2 linked regions of the Astyanax mexicanus genome follow. The protein of the gene in region 2 purifies or fractionates together with the protein of the main gene of each other region. This does not show direct contact. Links are inferred from orthologs where the notes say so. Each region holds a gene or a part of one and is shown on either strand. Other genes may lie near its edges.

Region 1 (7,816 bases), on a different chromosome or scaffold from region 2:
CTGTGTAGATTAACATCCATCACTCGTTTGAAACCCCTGTTCCCTACTAGTGTCACGCCTTATAATCCTGCGCACTTTATGTATGAAAATGAATCTAAATTAAACTTTTAAACTAAATACATTTGTTTTTCTCGTATAGTGTATAAGTATTCTCACCGCTGTAGCTGCTGATCACCGTCTCCTGACTCAGATCCCAAACTTTAACCCTAAAAACACAGAAGATTCGCTCTTATTAACACCAACATCACTACAACACATGAGCTACACTCACATACAGTGCCATATACCATCTAATGTAGAGCAAATATCCATTAAACTCAGAGAAACACTTTAAAACCATCAGTTTCTCTGATTTTACAATTTATAGGCATATGTTTGATTAAAATGAACATTTGTTGTTTTATTCTGTGAAAACATCTCTCCCAAATTCCAAATAGAAATATAATAAATTTGTCATTTAGAATTTTCATTTGCAGAAAATGAGAAATGTTAAAAACCTCAAATAATGCAAAGAAAACAAGTTCATATTCATTAAGAAATAACAATACTAACGTTTTAAAAACGTTCAGAAATCAATATTTGGTGGAATAACCCTGTTTTATAAATCACAGCTTTCATGTTCTCCTCCACCAGTCTTACACACTGCTTTTGGGTGATCTTATGCCTTTACTCCTGCTACAAAAAAAAAAAAAACTAGTTTAACTTTATTTGTTGGTTTGATGGCTTGTGAACATCCATCTTCCTCTTGATTATATTCCAGAGGTTTTTGACAGGGTTCAGGTCTGGAGATGATTATTAGCCTATTAGCTTTAGCGCTAACTGGTGAGTTTTAACTTCCGTTACTTATAAGCTACATAACATTTAAAGCTCCAGTAATAACACAAGTTTAAGCTTCAATTAGCTTCATGGCTAGGAAGCTACATTATCCTTATTCTTAGCTTCAGTGCTAATTGGTAACTTATAACTTCCATTTTTTGTTAGCTACATTAGCATGCTAAGCTAAGCTGGTGAGTTTAAACTTCCACTACTTATTAGATACATTACCGGTATTCTTGTAGCTCCAGTGATAATATAAGATTAAGCTAAGAAGCTACATTATCCATTATTTTAGCTCCAGTGGTAATTGGTAACTTATATTTCTTGTTAGATACATTAGCATGCTAAGCTAAATGTTGAGGTATAACCCTTGATTACTTCTTAGCTACGTTAGCATTGATGCTGCTGACCTGCAGTCCATGCCGCTGCTGACCGCGTGACCCGCGTCGGCCGTAGGGCTCACTGACGTCACAACGTGATCGTGCTCATGGCGAGTAAACCTGTTTACCAGCAGACGCTCGTCCTCCGCCAGCTCCCATAATTCAACAGCACCTACATAAATAAAGACAATTACGCGAAACATTAGCAAAGAACACAACTGGCCACTGAACCAATCACTAATCGATCAATATCCCCCCTCTGCTCACCTGAGTCTGAGGCGAGGATGATGGCTCTGTTGGTGAGCCACTCAGCGTGGGTAACTCCCGCCTCTGTCTGAACCCCCGCCTTACAGTAACCCTCGTTAGGAGCGAGTTTAGCATCACTGAACACCCAGAGAGAACCGAGCCAACACCGACCCGTCAGACCCGACGCCCCCAACAGCAGAGTCCCATCTGAGAGAAAAACACAGACAAAACACGCTCAGAATACAGCTTCTTCCCCTAGGCCATCAGACTGCTCAACACACAAGAAAGAATGTTTCTTAACGAAACCATAATTACACTGCTCACAGTTTTGAATATTTTTAATGTTAAGCCAAGCCCACTTCTTTGACACAGAGAGGCATGTACAGACATTTACAGACCTAGAAAGACATTTACAGACACAAAGAGACATTAACAAACTTTAAAAATAGAGAAACCTAGACACAAAAAGACATTTACAGACACCGAAACACACACAGAGAAACACAGAGAAAGAAACACACACACACACACACAGACACAGACACAGAAAAACAGACACACACCGAGATACAGATACACAGAAACACAGAGATACAGAAACACAGAGATACAGACACACAGAAACACAGAGATACAGACACACAGAAACACAGAGATACAGAAACACAGAGATACAGACACACAGACACACAGAGATACAGACACAACAGAGATACAGACACAACAGAGATACAGACACACAGAGATACAGACACACAGAGATACAGACACACAGACAGAAACACACAGATACAGGTCACATAAACATACAGAGATAAAGAACACACAGAAACACACAGAGATACAGAAACACACAGAGATACAGAAACACACAGAGATACAGAAACACACAGAGACACAGAAACACAGGGATACAGAAACACACACAGAAACACACAAAGATACAGAAACACACACACACACAGAAACACAGAAACATACAGAAACACACACAGAAACACACAGAGATACAGAGATGCACAGAGATACACAGAGAAACACACAGATATACAGACACACAAACACAGAGATACACAGAAACAGTGATACTCAGAAACACACAGATATACAGAAACACACAGAGAGAAACACAGACAGACACACACACACACACACACACAAAAACACACACACACACACACACACACACACACACACACACACACACAAACACACAAACACACAAACACACACACACACATACACTCACTCACTCACTCACTCACTCACTCACTCCTGCAGCAGGCTGTGGTGTATTTTACCTCTAATTATAGGTAAGGTAAGGGTAGTTAAGGTAAGTTACCTGTTCTGTACTGCAGGGTCTCCAGGTGTCTCTCCATGCACGCGGGCGCGCTCGCGGGGCACCAGCGGCTCTCGGTTAGCATCCTGCAGCTCAGCGCGGCGGCTCTCAGTCTTTACCTGATTATTTACCGGTTTATTTATTTACCGGTTTGTTTGTGAGTCTGTTTTTCCAGCGCGCGAATGAATGGCCGGAGAGATGGAGCAGCGTACATGCGCCTCTGACATCCACTCACTTCCGCTTCCGGATAAAAGTCCCACTTTTAAATGAATAAAAGTCTACTAATATTTTTATTATTATTATTATTATTATTATTATTATTATTATTATTATTACTATCATTTCCAACAGAACGAGCTTTTATAATCCAGAAAATATAAGCAAAATGTTGTCCAATCAGAGCCGGTTTATGGACGGATATGGTTGTTTGCGAGTTTCAGCTACACCCGATAAAATAAGAGTTCATAATATAAAATAAATTACATTTTAAAACTCGCTCATATTAAAAACCTCATACTTTGATTATCTAAGGTTCGTTAAATATAATTAAATAAACTTTTTTTTTTTTTTTTGTCCAATGGCGTTTAGTGCAGGTACAACTTCAACGTAAAAGTCCGTGATCTTGAAGCTGAAATCCAACTATATAAAATGCAGAGTCCTTTAAAAAAAGAAAACAACTAAAAATTAAAATAAAAATGTTATATAAACAGTATATTGTAAAACTATATTGGATTTTTTTTAGGAAACAGTTCCCTGATTAACAGCTTACAGCTAGTAAATAGCATTGGAAATAAAAATGTATGAGCTTTGAAAATGTATTTAAAAAAAGAAAATTTCCCAAGACAAGGTATTTATTCAGGCTTTGGTATTTGAACAGCCAAACTCTCTGTTGTTTTTGGTTCTTCAGCTGAAATTTAACACAAAATATCTCGCAATAAAATCTACATATAAACAGATTGAGTTTTTTATTCTTAAAAAAAAAATAAAATAAAAGTAATTAAGGTTGTTTGAGGTTGTTTATTTTTCATGTGAACAGTTTTAAAATTATAAAATACAAATAAAATCTAAATAATAATGAATATACATTTACAAAATTTACACTTACAATTATAGATACAAAAAATATATAATGTAAGAATAGCAAACACACACACAGCTGCCATCTAGTATTAAACACAGAACATCAGCTGATTTGATTTGCAGTGCATTCTGGGAAACAGTAGATCAATAAGTTACACACATCCATCGCTACACTTTAATGCATGGAACAGTTTTTGCTTAATAGAACATTTTCTGATCTTGACGGTTAATGTTCTTACATTTTCAGGATGTTCTTAGAGTGTTTTTACTTAACATTTTTAAACATCATGGTAACGTCACTGCAATGTTACAGTTTAACGTTAATGGAACCTTTTTAAAATGTTGATAAATGTTCTCAGTGAGCTGAGAAGATGCTACATACGATGGGTGTATGGGGGGAGTGTGTGTTCCAGGGGTCTCCTGTAGGTTAAGGGCCCTCTCTCCTCCTCAAAATGCAGTGAGGGCCTCAGTTCACTGTAAGTGTGTGTGTCTGTGTGAGAGTGTGTGTCTGTGAGTGTGTGTGTGTGTGAGAGAGTGTGTGAGTGTGTGTGTGTGATCTCCCGCAGGGTTGCGAGCAGCTCCTCGTACTGTTCCTCTGGTCCAGTCTGGACGTCCTCAGTGCAGAAGGTCAAACGCAGCATGTCGGCCACGCCCACCACGACCCCCAGCAGAGCCAACACTGAGCCCACCAGGTAAACCCTCAGCAACCCCGGCCTGAACCTCAGAGACAACAGCTCCCGGGCCAGCGGCACCAGCACTCTACTGTCCATCAGCATCATAACCACCGTCCTGATGAGTAATAAATACAAAACACACAGTTAAAACACATTAAAACAACATAAAAACAACCATACAGAAAAAAACTATACAGATAAAACACACCAAACCCCTCAAAACAATTAAACACATTACAATAATACAGATAAAACAAATCAAACACTTAAAAACAAGCAAACACATCAAAGCAATATTGTTTAAACACATTAAACACATCAAAGGAACCAAACACATCAAAACAATACCGTTAAAACACATCAAACACATCAAAACTATACAGATAAAACACATCTAACACTTCAAAACAATACAGTTAAAACACATCATACACATTCAAACATCCAAATACATCAAAACAATTGTTAGACACATCAAAACAACATACAAAAAAACATCAAAACAATACAATTAAAACACCTCAAACACTAAAAACCAACCAAACACACCAAAAATACAGATAAAACACACCAAACACTTTAAAACAACCAAACATATTAAAACAATACAGTTATAACCCACGAAACTCTTTAAAGCAACCAAACACATCAAAACTTTTACTTTTATACTTTAAATAATTTTTGAATCCAGTACTTTTTTAAACACTTTTACTTAAAGAGTAAAATGCTTGAGTTGATTCTTCTTTAACTTCTACTTCTAAGTATTTTATTAAACACTCTATACTTCTAACTACAGAGTAATGATTATTTGTTTATTTTATTTAATGAATAAAGAATAAACAGAGAAATCACACACTGACCTGTCTGAACAGCTCTCTCCACACTGTCCCTCACTTTCCCTCTGTGAGGTTTATACTGGTGTGTGTGCGTGTGTGTGTGTGTGTGTGTGTGTGTGTGTGTGTGTGTGTGTGTGCTGGTGCAGGTATGCTCCGCCCACTGTGTGTTTACACTGTTTACACATTTCCTCTGTGAGTAAGCTGGTTGGCTCAGACAGGCTTGGCTAATGCTAATGCTAATGTGTCTGACACTGCAGACGTCCGGCTCGCTCCGGCTGTAACGCTGGATTATACACACACACACACACGCACACACACACACACACACACACACACACACACACACTAAACTCAGCAGACAGGAATTTCCAAGCTCACACAACATGTAACCTCAGCCCAGTCTGTCTGCAACAGCTTGTTTAAAAAATTGTTACATTTGTCGTATTTTTGGTTAAAAAACGTTTTCACACATTCTCTGCTGATTACAGGTCAGTCCGGTCCAGAACCAGTGTTGTGCCGATTTCAGCACCCCCGCCAGGAAAAGCACCCCCTCTCGGGAGCGCGCACGTACATCTTCTTGGTTTTAACTTTATTTTTCATTATTTCTTTTGAGTCACCGTAGCTTAGAACAGCATATTGAGTATATTCATTTTCTAAAAATAGTCATGTCACCTGCAGCCTTAATTCAATAATGAAATATATATATATTTTATAAAATTTGTAGTCCTATTTTAGCGATCTATAGGCAAGCCATCAACCGTGCACTGTGCAGCTTGATTTAGAGCGCGTTGGTGTGTCTTTGCTATCATAACGGTGGGAAAAGTACACCTTGCATGACTCAAGTTATGTACTAATTCTCTTAATTAATCGTGGGTGTGGTTAATTTTGGGTGTAACATGACATAAACCAATCAGAGTGTCACTTTAAGCTCATCATTCTCTTTAAGAGTAGATCAGGTGAGCTCTGACTTTGGCGGATTGCTATTTTAACAGTGCAGCTACCTGGACCTGGAAACTGAGCTGCTGGTTGACGCTGTGAAGGAGATCCAGCAGCTAATTTACGGGAACAGCAATGTTATTTTATTTATTATTTTGTTTATTGTTGATCTACATATGGCACAGTTGCGTTGCCAAGATAGCAATAAACCAGAAATTTACCTGAACCTCATTTTCAGACCACCACGCCCATCAGTGTAGATATATTCAGAAGCACTGTTGCTATTTAAACAATGCAGGAGGAACGAGTGGAAATAGACTGTTGACAAGGTGTAAGATAGCAATGAGCATCACAACGCATCATGCACATGTTGTAAGACAGGGCCTTCATTATTTATTGGTGTTTTTATCTCATTTAGGTAAAGCATCGGATTGCATATCATCCTGACATTTTCTGATTTGGGGTTTTAGACTGATTCATCCCACCAAACCACGACACACCTCATCGCCATGGAGACCGGCAGCTGGGTGTGTCTGCCTCTGTCTGGCTTTTTGTAGAAAAAGATGAGTCAGAAAACACACACACACACACACACACACACCTGAGGCTGGTTCATACCTGCACTGGAGAATGTACCGCAGATTCAGTGCCTTCAGGCTACACTTTACTGCACACCACACCCAGAACACACATCGTCACCTCACCTCACACACCCTCACACACACACACACACACACACACACACACACTAACACACACTGCCATATGATTACTGTGCCCCAGGCTGAGGAAAACAACTCCAGCACCTTCAGATCTTTGCAACAACACAACCACGTCCCATAATAACCTTCAGCTTCAGTCTTCATAAATGCCTGTTCGCAATTACCTATTTAATACGTTTAAATCACTGTGGCTGTAAATACAGAGCAGAAAAATCTGAACAATTTCAAGAACTTTGAAAGTATCCTCAAGTGCAGTCACCGCAAAAAACATTGAAAACTTTATGATGGAACTGGCACTCATCAGGAATGCCCTGGAAAGGAAGAGCAAGATTTCCTCTGTTGTACAGGAAGTTCATCAGAGTTACCAGCCTCAGAAAGCACAAGTTAACAAACAGCTCCCCAGATAAGAGTATTTAGGTTTGTTTAACACTGTTTTTAAGTTACTACATGATTCCTTATGTGTTCCTTTATAATCTGATAGATCACTTAACTATTAATTTATAATGTAGGAAAAAATATTAAAAATAAAAACATTGAATGAGAAGGTGTGTCTAAACTAAAGTGCAGAGTAATTAGTGCTGTATATACATTTAAAATGATGATATTCTCTGGGTGTGATACGGTATGGCACGGTACGGGCAGGTCAGACTCAGTGATGTTCTGTTATTGCTGATGCTCCTCTGATCTCTCCTGTCAGAACAAGCCCAGAACTGAGAGTTTAACTCACTTTAATACAACACTGCTGCAGATACTGTAGCTTTAATGCTAACTATACTAACACTGAGCT
Region 2 (7,278 bases):
AAGTGGTTCGCTACGAAGAGGCCTTTTGTCACTTTTGTATATTAAGAATTATTAAGAATTAAGATGTGACTGAACACGCTTCACCTCTGATCAACTATCAGTAATAGAAATGCTGCATCTCAGAGCCGAACACGACTATGCAAACTATGCAATGTTACAGTAGAGCAATAATAATAATAAAACCCTCTTCTAAGAGAGCATATCATGGTTAAAGCTCAGCCTGCAAAAAAAAAATCTAAAATCGCAATCGTTTGTTTTTTTAAGATTTGTCAGATTTTCTAAAGGTTCCAACAGCTGGTCTTCATGTAACAGTGTTTTCCCAAGGAAACACAGCGAAGAGTTCTAAGATGTGTCACTATTTTTGCGGAAACAAATCATCTATATATATATATATATATATATATATATATATATATATATATATATATATATATATATATATATATGTGTATATATTTTATAAATTTTTTTCTTTACTATAGTGTGTTTATGAGAAATGTATGTGTGCCTGCTTACGTAGTGTGTGTGTGTGTGTGTGTGTGTGTGTACGCGCAATTATCAACGATAGACAACACACTGAATATTTTATGTATTTATTGATCCTAGAGAGAGAGTGGTCAGAGCTCATGCTTATGAGAAGCCATGTGGACTCCGTGTGTGCTACAAGGAGAATCAGAAGAAGAAAAACGATGACTGTAGCACTGAACAATCTTGAAGTTCTTTTTATTATCAGTTATTTTATGAGCTGTTCGCCATAAATTACATTTTATGATTGTTTGTTTGGTTATATGTTTGTTTGTTTTTTATGTTTGTAATGCAGCCCCATCATCACACACACATGCATTAACAAAGTACATATTTGTTACTGGACCTTGAATGGATTTAGTCCAGTTTGAATTATTAGATGATTTATTTTTTTTTATTGCATGTCTAATTAATTTTGGTGGTTACCAGTTCTTCTCTTTCTCAGGGGCTCTTCAAATTATGCATATGTAAAAAAAGAAATAAATCCAAGCTTTGTGGGTGAGCTAGCTACTCGCTCTCGTTTCTACAGCAAGCAAAGCAGTCACTACAGTTACTACATGCATACGAATGTGAATCTCTTCAGGAAACCGACCGCCTTTGGCTTCATCTCAGCGTTGTCCTCATTTTCATCATTGTCTTTCTCGTGATTCTGCATGTTTTAAACCTTTCAGCTGTTTTGTGTTTTGTCACTGTCAAACGACTGCATTTGTTAAAGGGATTGCACATGTTTTGTCTCACGTTTGTTCAGTTTTAGAAAGCTAGAGTTTTTTTTTTTTTTTTTTTTTTTTTCAGCCCTGTTATCTCCGATACAATCATTCAAACAATAAATATACACTAAGAAAGAGTGAGAAATTCAACACGACTCGGTTCTTCTTTTAATAGGCTATATGGTCAAAAATATTAGTACACATGCTCGTTTTTTATTTCTTTTTTCATTTTTTAGACCTCAATCGCACTAATGCTCTGTTTGCTGAATGCAAAGTTCACCACCCCACCTGTTCCACAACCCATTCCAAAAGTATCTCAGAAAATATGCTCATGAGGGGCTATTACAGGTAGCCCAACTGGGAACCAGAATTTTTTGTCTTAACGATTCCATATTTACCCCACATACAGTATGCATGTCTCAGGGTCAGCCACTCCATTGCAAAGGCCAATTTCTCCAGCCTGTCACTCAGTCAGCTGTATTCTCCTTGCTAAGCCCTCCTGTAGCCCGAACAAAGCTGTTCATACCTTCTGCTTCAGCTTTACAACAAAATGTCTTGATGAGCGAACCAATTGAAATACTTAAAAATTACCTAAAATTAACTTTTTTTTTTTAACATTGACTTCCATTAAAAGTTCAGATGTTTTTGTCTCTTTTATTCATTGGACACTGACAGTATATAAAAGTCCTGTCCAAGAACACATAAAATAACTTCACTAATTATTAATCTCTCCTGATTGGGTAAAAAAAATGGTCAGGAGTCTTGGAATCCAGCAATAAACAATCAAAAAGGAAAACACCATAAATAAATACAATCAAGTTCAAACAGTGACACAGCATTTAATAAATACAAATAAATCACACCCACTTTAAATTAAATCCAAACACAATTACATTATTTCAATATTGCTCTACTAAATAAGCAAAATATGTATGTCCATTACGCTAGATAGAAATGCTATACAATTAGGGTTGGTTCTGCTGTTTGACTGTATGATAAACTATCCTCTTATATCATGTTTAATCTGTAAATAGCCATAACAACTATGGCGTTTTTTTGTTTCCTCAAAAACTACAAAAATATTTAATTATTAATCAGCAAATATTTTAGGAATGTGTCAGTATTTTTTTTCTGCACATCTTTATAATAATGAATAACGAAGAGGATGGGGTAAGTTCTGCCAAATCAAAAAAAAAGTTTGACGTGTCTAGATTAATAACTTAAAGAGGCACTAAAACCCTCAGCTAAAATTTAAAAAAGGCTAGTTTGGGAGGGGTATTGGGTGATGTATGGGAGAGCTGATTGGCTGAGCTGCAGCAGCAGCAGCCGTGTGTCTCTGATAGTGGTGAGATGCAGATGGTTGGACTCATAGACTTGGACTTCAGCAAGGGGGCGGTAGTATTAATAGACTGATCTGCATATTTTGATATGTCTACCAAAGTATCCACGCCTATACCACAGACAAACCTGTGAGGCGCTGCAGGAAAGGTTAGGAAATGTTTCTAGAAATTTAGGCAGATTTGGTATGTTTTACTATAGACATCATATACGTATAAGATATCTATGTGTTTTACTACTATAAAGGAACACATTACAGCTATTAATGGTAAATATATGGTTTAGGGTTTAGTGGCTCTTTTAAAATATGATTGGGAAAGCTGAGGAAGAAAAATGTCCTTCAAGTCCTCCTCGAAAATTCATACTTACGAGTTTGGAGACGAATTTACGACTTTGGTCGGGTAGAAGTGGACGCCATAAGGAAAATCCTTTTGTTTATACTTTTGGTTTATTATCATAAAAAAAGGAGATTACTTTGCCCTACTCCAAGAGAATGAGGCGAATAAGACACGCATTAGAGTAATTGATGTTTTTTATCCCGTTAGAACCGTCATACTAGACTTTTACGTTATTTCACGTATCGCTAGTGATTTTATTAGTAAGCTAATAACCTTCAAGTGTTTAAGTGTTAAGCAGTTTACAATACGAACTGTCTGCATCAATTTATTGAATTTATTTATCAGTATCAGAATGTATTTTAATCAATTTATTGACAAGCCCCCAACTTGGAAACTCGGGGCTTATCTAAAAAGTCTCCCAATGGTAAATACGAGTTTGTAGTGGCGTTCATGTGCTCTCATCTCGTAAATATAATATTTCTGATACAACTTGAAGGCAGCAATTATAAATTGAAATCTTTTTAAGTTAATCGGTAGAACAAAATATTTAGAGACAACAAAAATATAAAAGAAATTGTATTAAACTGAAGCGATGAAGCCATACGAAGCTGCGAATATACAGCCAAACGAATCTGGAGCTGCGAATAAACCAACTTCAGCCTCGTGGTTTCTTTTCAGTAAGGAAAAGATTTTCGAAATATTATTTTCTACTCATTCTCATTTTTACTTTAGGAGCTTTATGTTTATAGAGCAATCCTTGATGTAATAAAACGACATTTTATTATTAACTGTTTAGTAAATTCATGTTCCCAGAATATCCCTTTCAGACCCGAAATATATCCAGCGTTAAAAAATGCACAAAAATGTCTGTAATGCACAGAAAAGAGCACTTCAATATTCTATTATAAAATCTATATAAGCAAACAAATTCAGTTAACTAATATATATATATATATATATATATATATATATATATATATATATATATATATATATATATATATATTATCTTTTATTTCAAGTGCATTGAAAGCCTATGTGTAATATTTTATATTTTTTAATATTGACGTTTTTATTTCATAAACAGTTTATCTCTAAACTGAAAAAAAAGAGTTCTAAATCTGTTTCAGTGGTATATAAACTTGTTATAAACTTGCTTTATAGTCCATGATGGAGAACAGCTCTTAAATAGAGTTATGTGCAACAAAACATTTAAAATAAAGGAAATACATGGTGTCCATTGTAATAGATTCTAAAAGGAATATTACTAAACGATTCATTCAAACCTGAGGTATTCCTGCTGGTGATTAGCATTTTGCGTTTGACTTTTCCTGCTCTCAACTGATCCCTCTCGGCACCCTTACCCACGCTGTGCTCTGTGTGTTCAGTTCAGGTGGAGTTTAGCTAGGTTAGGCTAACCTGGTTTACCTGATTGTGGTGTTTTATTTATTGTATGTTCTGTGTGTTCAGTGTTGAGGATGGACAGTTGGAGCTGTAGAGAGATGCCGCAGATCGTCCCCGGACAGTTTGACGACGCGGAGGAATCTGGAAGGTATGGAAGTAAACATTAGCTATAGGCTAACAGGCTAACTGTGTTTATCACAGCTCACCAGTTCAACAGATACTGAGGGTAACTTACTTTCACAGGCATTCATTAATGTTACATGCTGTTCTGTGCTGTTAAATAAATGCGCTGAACTATTAATAATTATTAGTTCCACCTTAAAAGACTCAGCATGCAGCTCTGCTTAAGGTGGAACGGGGAAACCCAAATTCACTTCATGATTATGTAAAGTAGGAGGACAGTGAGTCATATTTTCCGGGACATACCAGCAGAGAGAGAGATAAAGAAAGAAAGAGGGAGAGAATAAATTGGAGGCAGAACAATGAAGATAAATATTGGGTGATACAAACAACAAGAGAGAAAGAATGAGAGAAAAATAGGTGAGAGAATGAGAGAAAAGAAAGAACAAGAGAATATTGCTGATGAAGTAAATACTCAATGATATTCTAATTTTTGAGATACACTCATAAATTGAAATAATGAGAGAGAAAGTGGGTGAAAGAGCAAAATAAAAAAGTGAAGAGAAATGAGAGCGAGAGTGAAAAGAGTGGGTTAAAGTGGTAAATGGAGTGTCAGTAGGTGGATATATATGAAGAAACATGTAAAAAGAGAGGATGATAGAAACAAAGAAAGAATAAGAGGAAAAAAGGGTAATGGAAAGAGATGGGAGTAAGAACAAGGGAATAAAGAGGGGTAAAAAAGAAAGAGGGAAGAGGAATATTCAAAGAATAAAGGAGAGATGGAAGAAAATGAGTGGGTGAAATATAAAATATAAAGAGAAAGGGAAATAAAAAGAGTAAAAGTGGGTGACAGAGATACAGAGAGAATGAGAGAAAGAGAATGGAGGAAGCGATGATCACCATGAATGACTTGTTTCTGGTAATATAAACACCTGCTCGGACTGAACCTCAGTAACGTGAATGTATATCTGTTTTTATTCTCCAGTGACTCAGAACTCAGTCAGAGCACAGACAAACCTGCAACACTGGAGACCAAACTCAGTGGAGTGAACCTGCAGCCCTCACCCATTAAACCTCTACAGCAGGGCGGTGATATTGCTGCTGATGATGATGTAGATGAAGATGATGATGATGATGAAGATGATGAAGATGATGATGACTATGATGAATGGGACTGGAGTGGGTCATCTGGAGGGAATATTACTAAACGCTACACTGCAGTGAGGACTGGAAGCAATCCACAGGTATTCCATTAACAAAATATACTAAAATTTCTTTACATTACAAAATTAAGTGGGTTCAAACTGAAAAAAAAGATTCTTTTGATTTCTGACTAGCATAACATTTTATAATGTTGTGCTTTTCAAATTTAGTGTTTTATTATTTATACGTTGGAAAGATTTGTTCAGATTTTTGGTTGTTTTTTGTTGTTAAAAGTTGTAAAAACCAGAGCAATCTTTACATTATTGACTTTTTATATAATATATAGACATAAACTTAATATTTATTGCTGACCCCAAATATTGCCCATTATGTGTACTTAGCGAGGAGATTCCATTATTGCAGATGAGCATGTCTTACAAAACTGCCAATATTTTGTCCACTACCAATTTGGGCGGCAAGGTGGCTTAGTGGTTAGCACGGTTGTCTACCCGTCTCTGTCTGGGTGGAGTTTTCATGTTCTCTTAGTGTCCATTTGGGTTTCCTTCAGGAACTTTAGTTTCCTCACACAGTTCAAAAAGGTAGGAATCAGGTAAATTGGACTGTAAATCACTCTAAATTGCCCAGAAAATTTGGTGTGTGTGGAGGTGGTGTAGATATGCATTCTTCTGTTTCTGGTATACACTGCCTTGCAAAAAAAAAGTCATCACCTGGATTTAAGTAAGTAAATGATGTGGGGTTGATGCTGCAGTTGGTCAGGTGTTGGTTCAGCAACAGTATGTGCTGAAAGAACGAGGTCAGCTGACTACCTGAACATAGACCAGCTTATTCCATCAATTGATAAGTTCTAGGATTCATGAGGCTGGAATTGTGAGAGTGATACAGGGAGCATGAGATCATCATTTTCACACATGGATTGTTCACTAGACCTTAACCTCATTGAGAATCTTTGGGATGTGCTGGAGAAGACTTTGTGCAGTGGTCAGACTCTACCATCATCAATGCTGCTGCAAGATCTTGGTGAAAAATTAATGCAACACTGAACTGAAATAAATCGTGTGATGTTGCAGAATCTTATTAAAACAATCACACGGTCAATGCGTGCCGCCCAGGCAGTGTTTAACTTCATTTATTCAATGTCTGAATGTTTCTAATTTGTATGTAATTATTTCTGTGACAACATATCTATATATCACAATGTAGTCATTATTATTAATGTCTAGTTATTTTGAGCCTGTAAAAATTGTGGGACTTTGTTAAACCCAATGAACCGATGCCCCAATCACATCCTGTTTGCTTCATTTCAAACACATGAAGGTCATATACAGAGGCACAGTTATGAAAAGTGTTGTTTGTTTTGTTCCAGGCTAATCGACAGGGTTCAAAATCTGACAAGATGTCTACACCATCAGACAAAGTCCTGAGGAAGTTTGAACACAAAATAAATCTGGGTAAGTTGAGCGTATTTTGTGCTCAGTGAGTGAGTGTGTTCAATAAGAGGAAGGAAGTCTCGGGTTTGGGTTCGGTGATTTCAGTAGATGTAAAAATAAATACTTTCTATTCTTTCTCACACTCAGTAATTTCGGTTGCTTTTATGTTTCAGATAAACTGAACTATGCTGATTCTGTGATCAACAAAGTCACGGTGATGCAGAAACAACGAGATTCAGACACGTTAGTAGATGT

What was found.
Region 1: the proteins of riok1 (region 2) and wdr77 purify together in Homo sapiens (affinity purification with mass spectrometry; 5 studies listed by BioGRID and IntAct, with this or other methods). This does not show direct contact. The link is inferred for Astyanax mexicanus from reciprocal best matches to the Homo sapiens genes RIOK1 and WDR77.

The regions. Positions count from the first base shown.
Region 1 is NC_064431.1:32,443,456-32,451,271, reverse strand, and holds the start of wdr77 (methylosome protein 50), read right to left. Parts: upstream 3,019-7,816; 5' UTR 2,867-3,018; coding exon 2,785-2,866; intron 1,650-2,784; coding exon 1,464-1,649; intron 1,369-1,463; coding exon 1,227-1,368; intron 207-1,226; coding exon 157-206; intron 1-156. UniProt on the Homo sapiens protein: Non-catalytic component of the methylosome complex, composed of PRMT5, WDR77 and CLNS1A, which modifies specific arginines to dimethylarginines in several spliceosomal Sm proteins and histones.
Region 2 is NC_064411.1:38,922,501-38,929,778, reverse strand, and holds the start of riok1 (serine/threonine-protein kinase RIO1), read left to right. Parts: upstream 1-4,250; 5' UTR 4,251-4,386; coding exon 4,387-4,460; intron 4,461-5,417; coding exon 5,418-5,676; intron 5,677-6,959; coding exon 6,960-7,044; intron 7,045-7,196; coding exon 7,197-7,266; intron 7,267-7,278. UniProt on the Homo sapiens protein: Involved in the final steps of cytoplasmic maturation of the 40S ribosomal subunit. Involved in processing of 18S-E pre-rRNA to the mature 18S rRNA. Required for the recycling of NOB1 and PNO1 from the late 40S precursor.